Tribolium castaneum: one gene and its partner. The protein of the gene in region 1 purifies or fractionates together with the protein of each later gene. This does not show direct contact. Links are inferred from orthologs where the notes say so. Each region holds a gene or a part of one and is shown in the gene's direction. Other genes may lie near its edges.

Region 1 (4,131 bases):
AGCTTTTGTATGAGAGTGAAAAAACTTATACAAACTGCGAAGAGCACATTAAATGTAGATTTGTCGATTATCGAAGATGTAACGTAATAAGTTTATTTTTTCGACAGCAGAATTAACAAAAAAACAAACTTCATTGCTATTGAACAACTTTACCCATTAAGAAACTTCACTTTGCGGTTAAAAAACTAAATGAATAATTATTTTCAGTAGAATAAAGCACACAGACATCTGCTATAGAAAAAAATACATTATGAGCTAGGATTATGAGTTATTATTGTTACCAACGCACCCCATTCGACTCAAACGACATAGAAAAAAACACTCACCATCTAGAAACAACCACCATCACATTGGTTACATTCAAAATTTGTAATAAATGTAAAACACGCCCTCCGGCGTGCGTTTCACCATCGTCATCGCAGTCTTGGAGAATGGTTCCCTGAGAAGTCAAAATTCTATAAGCTGAGATGTTATGAGTTGCTTGAGCAATTTTTTTATTATCAAGTAAAAAATTCATAAATTCTCTATAACAAAAAATTAAATAGAATATCATTCAGTAATTTGGACATGTAAAATACCTTGTCTCTTCTAATGAGTGAACCCGAGCCATGTGACCCTGAAAAACACTTTTTCTGTCTTGTATAATATCCCCATGTATCACTTGTAAAAAAGTTTCCTTCCTGACTTGTTTCTCTTCAACTTCGCCATTTAAAACTTCTGGCTGTGGAGCACTTAAAACTTCTGAACACTCGTCCACAATTTCCTTTAACTTTTCAATCCACTGAAACAGAATAGGGCTTCCCTGGCTACTTCTAAGAAATCATAGTTCAAAAATAATTGTAAGAAGCATAAACACTTCTTGTTCATACTCGTAAATGTTACCAAATTCATCGGAAATTAGCTGCTTCTGCTCTGACGTTAATGTAGGAGCCAATAACTCAAAACTTGGGGGCTTGCTTGACGGATAATCATCATTCAAAGTTATGAATAATTTAACGTTGGGATTAATTTGAATGCTATAACAATTCGTGTCCGTCTCCAGCCGCCAGTTATCATCGTAAATAGATTTCAAAGCTTCAAGTTCCTCACACTGTTCCGCTAAATTATCCATTTTTTTGGAAAACACATTTTAGTTTTGAGGTTATGTTTACACATTTCTGTCATACGTCAGTCATACTTTGACAGTGCGAATTGAGGTTATGATTTTTATTCCAACAATTGTCTTGTAATAATAAATTCAGTGCCACACAGTATTTAATTACACAAGATGCAGTCTCACCCGAAATTAATGGAATTGCGTCCTGATCGATCATTACTGAACTCTGATTTTGACGGTTATAAGTTGTCTTTGGCCGAGATCCCCACAATTAGCGAGCAGTTAAAAGTACCAGTGGACAGATTAGTGCCTGATGTAAATCAGTATTCGTTGCTCCATGCAAAACTCTTTGCTCTTCACAATCATTTGATTAGCGAAAATGATAATGAATCAGTTTATTTTGTTGATAAAGAGTTGAACGTTCAAAAATTTAGCATTGAATCATTGACACACACATTCTGTAAAACAACCGTGTGGACGCTACCTTTACAGAGAGAAAGGAGCTTTGGGGATTACAATATTTCCCTGAAATTTGCCTCAAGTCAGATTGCCGTTGTAGCAGATGGAATGGGCTATCTTTACGTATTAGACAGGGGCTGCAGAGACATTGACGATAAATGGAAGATACTCTTTTCTGGGGACGTGACAGGTCCTGATCAGAAGTTTGTTGTAACTGATGTGGTTTTTAAAGAGGCCCCAAAACCACATTTGCATTTATTACTAACCAGTATAAGACAGAGGGAAGCGAATGAGAGAAATTCAACAATTTTGCACTGGATAACTTTGGAAAAAAGCGATTCGTGGAACCAAGTGGCTTTGAGGGAACTAACAGTTAAAGGCTTCGTCCAGTACGCAAATTTCGAACGCACTTGTGACGCAGTTTACGTAATCAGCGATGATGGTTGCAAATTCACCCTGGATTCGGAAAATGAAATCAAAAAAGCCGAAGAAATTCAAGTTGAAAAGAAATACAAGTGGAGCCAAACCAGTGAAGATTTGACCATTAAATTTCCACTTCCTGAAAATTTTAAGAAAAATTTAGTCCACGTAACCACCGAACCAACCCACATCTCGGTCAAATACGAAAATGAGACTCTCCTAACCGGCAAATTGTATCACCAAATAGACCCTGATGTGACCTGTTGGACCATTGAGTCAAGCACTCTCGTCCTAACTTTACAAAAGTGTGAATCCGGCCTTATGTGGCCAGAAATCGTCGAAGGTGGCTACGTTTTTGGCGAATATTTGCCAGATCCGGCTTTAGTTAGCGAAATTGCGGCGAGATTGGCCCCACTTACGAGCGATACCGAGATGGGGCCGCCCACAGGGACCACTTTCAACAGCCAACAAGTGGAAGAGTGTGACTTTGAGTGCGATAAATTGACTGTGTTTGAACGAATTTCGCGCGATTCGCATGAGGTCACCCATAAAATCAACTTGGGGTCACATCAAGTCCTGCTAAGTGTTGGGTTGGAAGAGAACCAGCCGTTGGCTGTAGGGATCCGAAGTGATGTTGATACGTGTATCTGGCAGCCGACTAATGAAAATGAGTTTCGATTGGTTCATAAGGGTACTTTGCTAGCGCTGGGTTATATTCAGGTGAGTTAAGATATATGGAGGACTAAAACTAAGTGGCGAAACGAATTTGAAAATCACCCAATTTAACCGACTCGGCTCCAAATTGATTAAGTTAATTTAAATTTATGACTTGCTCAAAAATACTTGTTTAAAAAAATTGCAGGAATGTTGGCTTTTAGTTTTTAATCAGCTGTACAAAACTCACGGCTATTATTTTCAAAAGTAATTTTTTTTATCGAGCATTTCACAAAATTTACATATTTAATGTAAAATTGTAAAGCGTGGTAAATACAAACAAACTCTACAATTTAACAAATACAGATTTACTAATCGATATTCCTAATTACAAAAAATGTTTTTTTAAGGTAGCTAAACGTCGTCAGATTTAAATTGGCAAAACCAGCATATTTTCATTAAATACGTTAACTTAATAATTTAGTAGTGCATTGATGACCTTTTGTTTTTCTCAATCACTTTAAGCTTAAAAGTATCTTCAAAATCAAACTAGAGCAAGAAATCAAGAAATGTTTTTATTAATTTTAGTAAAATATATGAGGCATTTGAGAACACTTTTGAAAAGTAAATTCTTTTAATAAATAGATGTATTTTATTTAATTTTTAGTGTTTCGACTGATACGTGTATAAGTTTTTTAAGGCAAATTTTTACTAAACAACAGGGAAGTTTTATAAGGTGTTAAATAAATTGGTACTTGACCAAATCGCACATAAGAATTAAATACATTTTAATAACATATAGTATAAAAAAAATCACACATAATACGTATACGTGTATAAGTAACTTAACTAAGTTACTAATTAGTAATTTAAAATGTTGTGAAGTAAATATGGTCTCTTAAATTGTCTATAAAGCTCTGCTTTAATTCTAAAGAGAAAATTATAATACAATTTAATTTTTTGAGATATCATAAACTTCTAACGAAAAGCACAATTGATCGAACAGTGATTTTAGAATATGGATTGTAATTTAGTTTTTTATTTTAACCTTTTCATGAACGTTATTCACTTTCGGTCTTTCTTTTATACAGAGTCAGTTTAAAGTAACACATAAAATTCGTAATTCTTTTAATTTTAAAAAATAAGACAATGCAAAAACAGGTAAGTTAGCATTTTAATTGAGCTTAAATTTGACCTGACTGCATCAGTCATGGCGGACAATATGGCGGCACCATGACGTCATCACAGAATTTTTAAATGGAACGGTATAATTTTTCTTATAAAATCAGAAGCTCTACTAATAAGTCTTTACAATATGGATGAACCAAACACGTAATTTTTTTTGACATCATCATTATAAAGTGACGTATAAAATTCATATTTCTTTTATTGTTCAAAAATGAAAAAAATGCAGAAACGGGTAACTTAGCATTTTAATTGAGCATAACTGGATCAATCATGGCGGCCAATATGGCGCCGCCATGACGTCATCAATTTTTTTT
Region 2 (4,214 bases), on another chromosome or scaffold:
TTTCGATCGTATAATACCCCAATCAACAGACCGGGTCTGTCCGCCTAATTTAAAGTGCTAAGAGAATAAAATCGTGGGTCTACATGCACAGGTGTCTGATTCTCTTCCTGAATTTATTTAATTCTGAAGTGCCTCTTTGCCTTTTCTTTATGAATTAATAAACTGTAAGACGTAAATGTAAATTTTAACATAATTTACTCCCAAACGACAAATATTTTTGATAAAAGAACGTCACATTATTATTGGCTTTTGAGAAATAGTACAAAAAACTTGAAATTATTTTTGTGTCAGCGTACACGAACCACAAAATTGTAACGAAATTTTACACCCTTTATTACACACGCGGTCTCGTAAATTTATTGTAAAAGTGAATATTCGAAAATCTGGAAGTACTTCAGAATGATATTCGATTTTTCCCGTAGTTCAGTAACACTGCACAAGTTCAAAGCACGTGTGTGTTTGAACTTGTGAGTAAGGTACAAGAATTGTAAATTTATCCGTATTTACATCAGTTTAGCTTAAGATCCTTGTTCTTCCTTAAGTGGTTAAAGTGAATAGACTTCATCGAATTACTGTTTAAAATAGAAACTGTTGGACTAAAATTTCGTTTTGATCGTTGTAGATATTAGGAGATAAGTTCGGCTTTTATTTAGTTTAGTTAAATAAATATCTAGGAAATGTTAATCAAAATATACGATTATTATATGATATAGTGAAATATATCGTAACAGTAGATGTCTTAAAATCGATTTCTTTCTGTTATCTGTTATTGCGTTCAGTCAGCAAAAGAGCAATGTCCGTAAATTACCAAATATGCAATACATCACATGCATATCGAGAACTACAATCACAAGAGCCAACCATCACTACTGATTTGCCAACAAAATGAGCTTTTTAAATGATACGGTTAAATGTGGTAATAGACTTAAGATTTCTTAAACTGTATTAATTTTTTACTATTCTTTGTATAACAAGATGGCCAGACGGCACTAACACACTTCATAAACATGTAACTGTGTAAAATTTTAATTAAAAAGTGACGATAGGATTAACAAATTTCATACGTGCTGTACTATAAATGTATTAATTAATTAAAATATATTTTAAATTCAGGGCACAATTAATTACATTACTACTATTTTCGCATCAGAGGCATGTCCCATAAAACAACTTATGCGAAAAATTTTACATGAAGTCGGTTTAAAAAGTTGCAATTAATATGTTTCTCCCCAGAATCAGCAATATTCGCGCAGTACACATAATTTTGACTGACTAAAAACCAAATTATATTATTGTTATAAAGTTTAATTAATAAATTGTTATACGGTGTACAATAATTTCGTGGTTTCATTTTTCCCCTTAATTTTCCAAAAAATTTAAACTCCCGCTTTCGGTCGCCATGCAAATAAACGTCAATAAAACGGCAGCGCTCTGCTCTATCGACCGTGCAAAGTTGCATGGAGTCGTGGTCGTAGTTTTATTTCCAAACAAACTTTAATGCAATTTATTTTTATTTGTTAACAAGTAGACAATTCGAGAGCTTGTTACTATTAGCCGTAGTCTATCTAACAATGTCTAAAAGGAGAATCGAAGTGTTGGATCCGTTTATAAAGAAGAAAAGGTGAGTAACCACAAATGTCACTCAGCCACATTTTCCGCCTCGTGATATTTCAGGGAAGAACGTGGGATTAGCACTGCAGTAACGAACACCCCGCAAGTAACCAACGCCTCAATCAACCCGCACACCGGTTTGCCGTACACCAATAAGTACCATGAGTTGTATCGCAAACGCATCACGCTTCCTGTCTTTGAATACCGCAACGATTTCATGCGTTTGCTCGCCGAAAACCAGTGCATTGTGCTGGTTGGCGAGACAGGGTCGGGGAAAACGACGCAAATTCCACAGTGGTGCGTTGAATTCGCCAGGTCGGTCGGGAAAAAGGGGGTGTGCTGCACCCAGCCCAGGAGGGTGGCTGCCATGTCTGTGGCCCAGAGAGTGTCAGAGGAAATGGACGTCGCCTTGGGGCAAGAGGTGGGCTACAGCATTCGGTTCGAGGACTGCTCGTCGGCCAAAACTATCCTCAAGTAAGAGGGGCTATAAATATTTTCCAGAAACTCTTGTCTTCTTCCCCAATTATGATTATTCCTTGTGAAAAACTAGTTTTTTCCTCGCCGAATTCTATTAAACCTTGTTTTCTGAGGTTTTATTATTTTCAAAATACTCTTTTTCTCTTTTGGACTTAAATTATTGTTTTTTTTTTGAGAAATTTTAATGAATCAGACAGAAAAGTCAGTAAATTGGGTTTGAAATAAAAAAAAAATTGTCGTTTTCGAGCTTTTTATTACGTTTATCATATATTTACAAAAGCAGTTAAGTTAAATTAAGTTAAAGCATAAAAATTACAACTGTGTGATTTAATAGGTACATGACCGACGGTATGTTGCTCCGTGAGGGCATGAGCGACCCAATGCTGGACGCCTACCAGTGCATTTTGCTCGACGAAGCCCACGAGCGCACCCTTGCCACCGACATTCTGATGGGTGTTTTAAAAGAAGTTATTAAACAACGCTCCGACTTGAAATTAGTTATTATGTCGGCGACTCTAGACGCTGGCAAATTCCAGCAATATTTCGATAACGCTCCCTTAATGAACGTCCCCGGTCGTACGCATCCAGTAGAAATTTTCTATACTCCCGAACCGGAACGCGATTATCTCGAAGCCGCCATCCGTACCGTCATCCAAATCCACATGTGTGAGGAAATAGCCGGCGATATTCTCCTATTTTTGACCGGTCAGGAGGAAATCGAAGTTGCTTGCAAACGAATCAAACGCGAAATTGATAATCTGGGCCCCGAAGTGGGCGAACTAAAATGTATCCCGTTGTATTCGACGCTGCCTCCGAATTTGCAGCAACGTATTTTCGAGGAGGCGCCCCCTAATAAGGCCAATGGGGCGATCGGACGCAAAGTTGTCGTCTCGACCAACATTGCGGAGACTTCCTTGACTATAGACGGTGTCGTGTTTGTGATAGATCCCGGATTTGCGAAACAAAAAGTCTACAATCCTCGAATTCGTGTCGAGTCGTTATTGGTCTCGCCGATTAGTAAAGCCTCAGCACAGCAGCGTGCCGGAAGAGCTGGAAGGACTCGGCCGGGGAAATGTTTCCGACTTTACACCGAAAAAGCATACAAGAACGAAATGCAAGACAACACCTATCCAGAAATTTTACGATCGAATTTGGGTTCGGTCGTTTTACAATTGAAGAAACTGGGAATTGATGATTTGGTTCATTTTGACTTCATGGATCCACCGGCGCCTGAAACCTTGATGAGGGCCTTGGAATTGTTGAATTATTTGGCGGCGTTGGATGATGATGGAAATCTCACCGATTTGGGGGCGGTTATGGCCGAGTTTCCGCTCGATCCACAATTGGCGAAAATGCTCATTGCCAGCTGCAACCACAACTGTTCCAATGAGATACTGTCCATTACGGCGATGTTGTCAGGTATTTATTTTATTAACGTTTTTCTGAAGCAGGCCCTCAGCCCTTGCTTTAAACGTCGATTTGGTTATTTATTCCGATTAGACTCATTCAAAATAATTTTTTCATTTTCACTGTTTTGGTTTATTTAATTGGCAGCGTTGAATGTACTTTCACTACTTGCCACATAACAAACCTCAAAAGAATTAAAGGTTCCCATTTTTAAACGATTTTACCACAGTATTTATGCTTGGAGACTAATAAGTAATAAATTATATTTTTGATTTTGTGGTAGTTGATGCCGAATAATAGTCGGAGCAAAAAACCATTATCGTTATTAATGAACTAAATTTTTTGTTGAATATACGACTCAGCCAATTTCCGAAACCTCCGTAATCAATAATTCAAACGCTTGTGCAAAACAATATTTTTTAAAATGTTTATTAGATGCATCTTAATGTTGATTTTGTTTAATGAAGAATGAAAGTGGTTTGTTGTCCATGAATTTTACTTTATCAACTGCTACCTGTTTATTGGTCTGTTGTCACGCGGGTTCGTGTTATTCGGAACGATTTTCGAGCAAAACCGCTAGTAATATAGCTAATAAATGCTTGAAATAACAGACATTGAACAGAACAGAACACCACAATGTTGTGGTTTGTTTTGCTCGAGTCGTTCTGACTAAGGTAGCTCTGTAGGAAACGCTTGAGAGCGCAACTATATTGGTTGGA

Evidence for each region. The genes of interacting proteins can lie anywhere in the genome.
Region 2: the proteins of nudC domain-containing protein 1 (region 1) and Dhx15 purify together in Homo sapiens (co-immunoprecipitation; 3 studies listed by BioGRID and IntAct, with this or other methods). This does not show direct contact. The link is inferred for Tribolium castaneum from reciprocal best matches to the Homo sapiens genes NUDCD1 and DHX15.

What each region holds. Positions count from the first base shown.
Region 1 is NC_087394.1:22,049,237-22,053,367, forward strand, and holds the start of nudC domain-containing protein 1, read left to right. Parts: upstream 1-1,267; coding exon 1,268-2,695; intron 2,696-4,131. Other genes in the region: protein IMPACT-B, read right to left, coding at 327-524, 579-812, 870-1,111.
Region 2 is NC_087397.1:4,419,833-4,424,046, forward strand, and holds the start of Dhx15 (putative pre-mRNA-splicing factor ATP-dependent RNA helicase PRP1), read left to right. Parts: upstream 1-1,404; 5' UTR 1,405-1,571; coding exon 1,572-1,621; intron 1,622-1,674; coding exon 1,675-2,085; intron 2,086-2,422; coding exon 2,423-3,507; intron 3,508-4,214.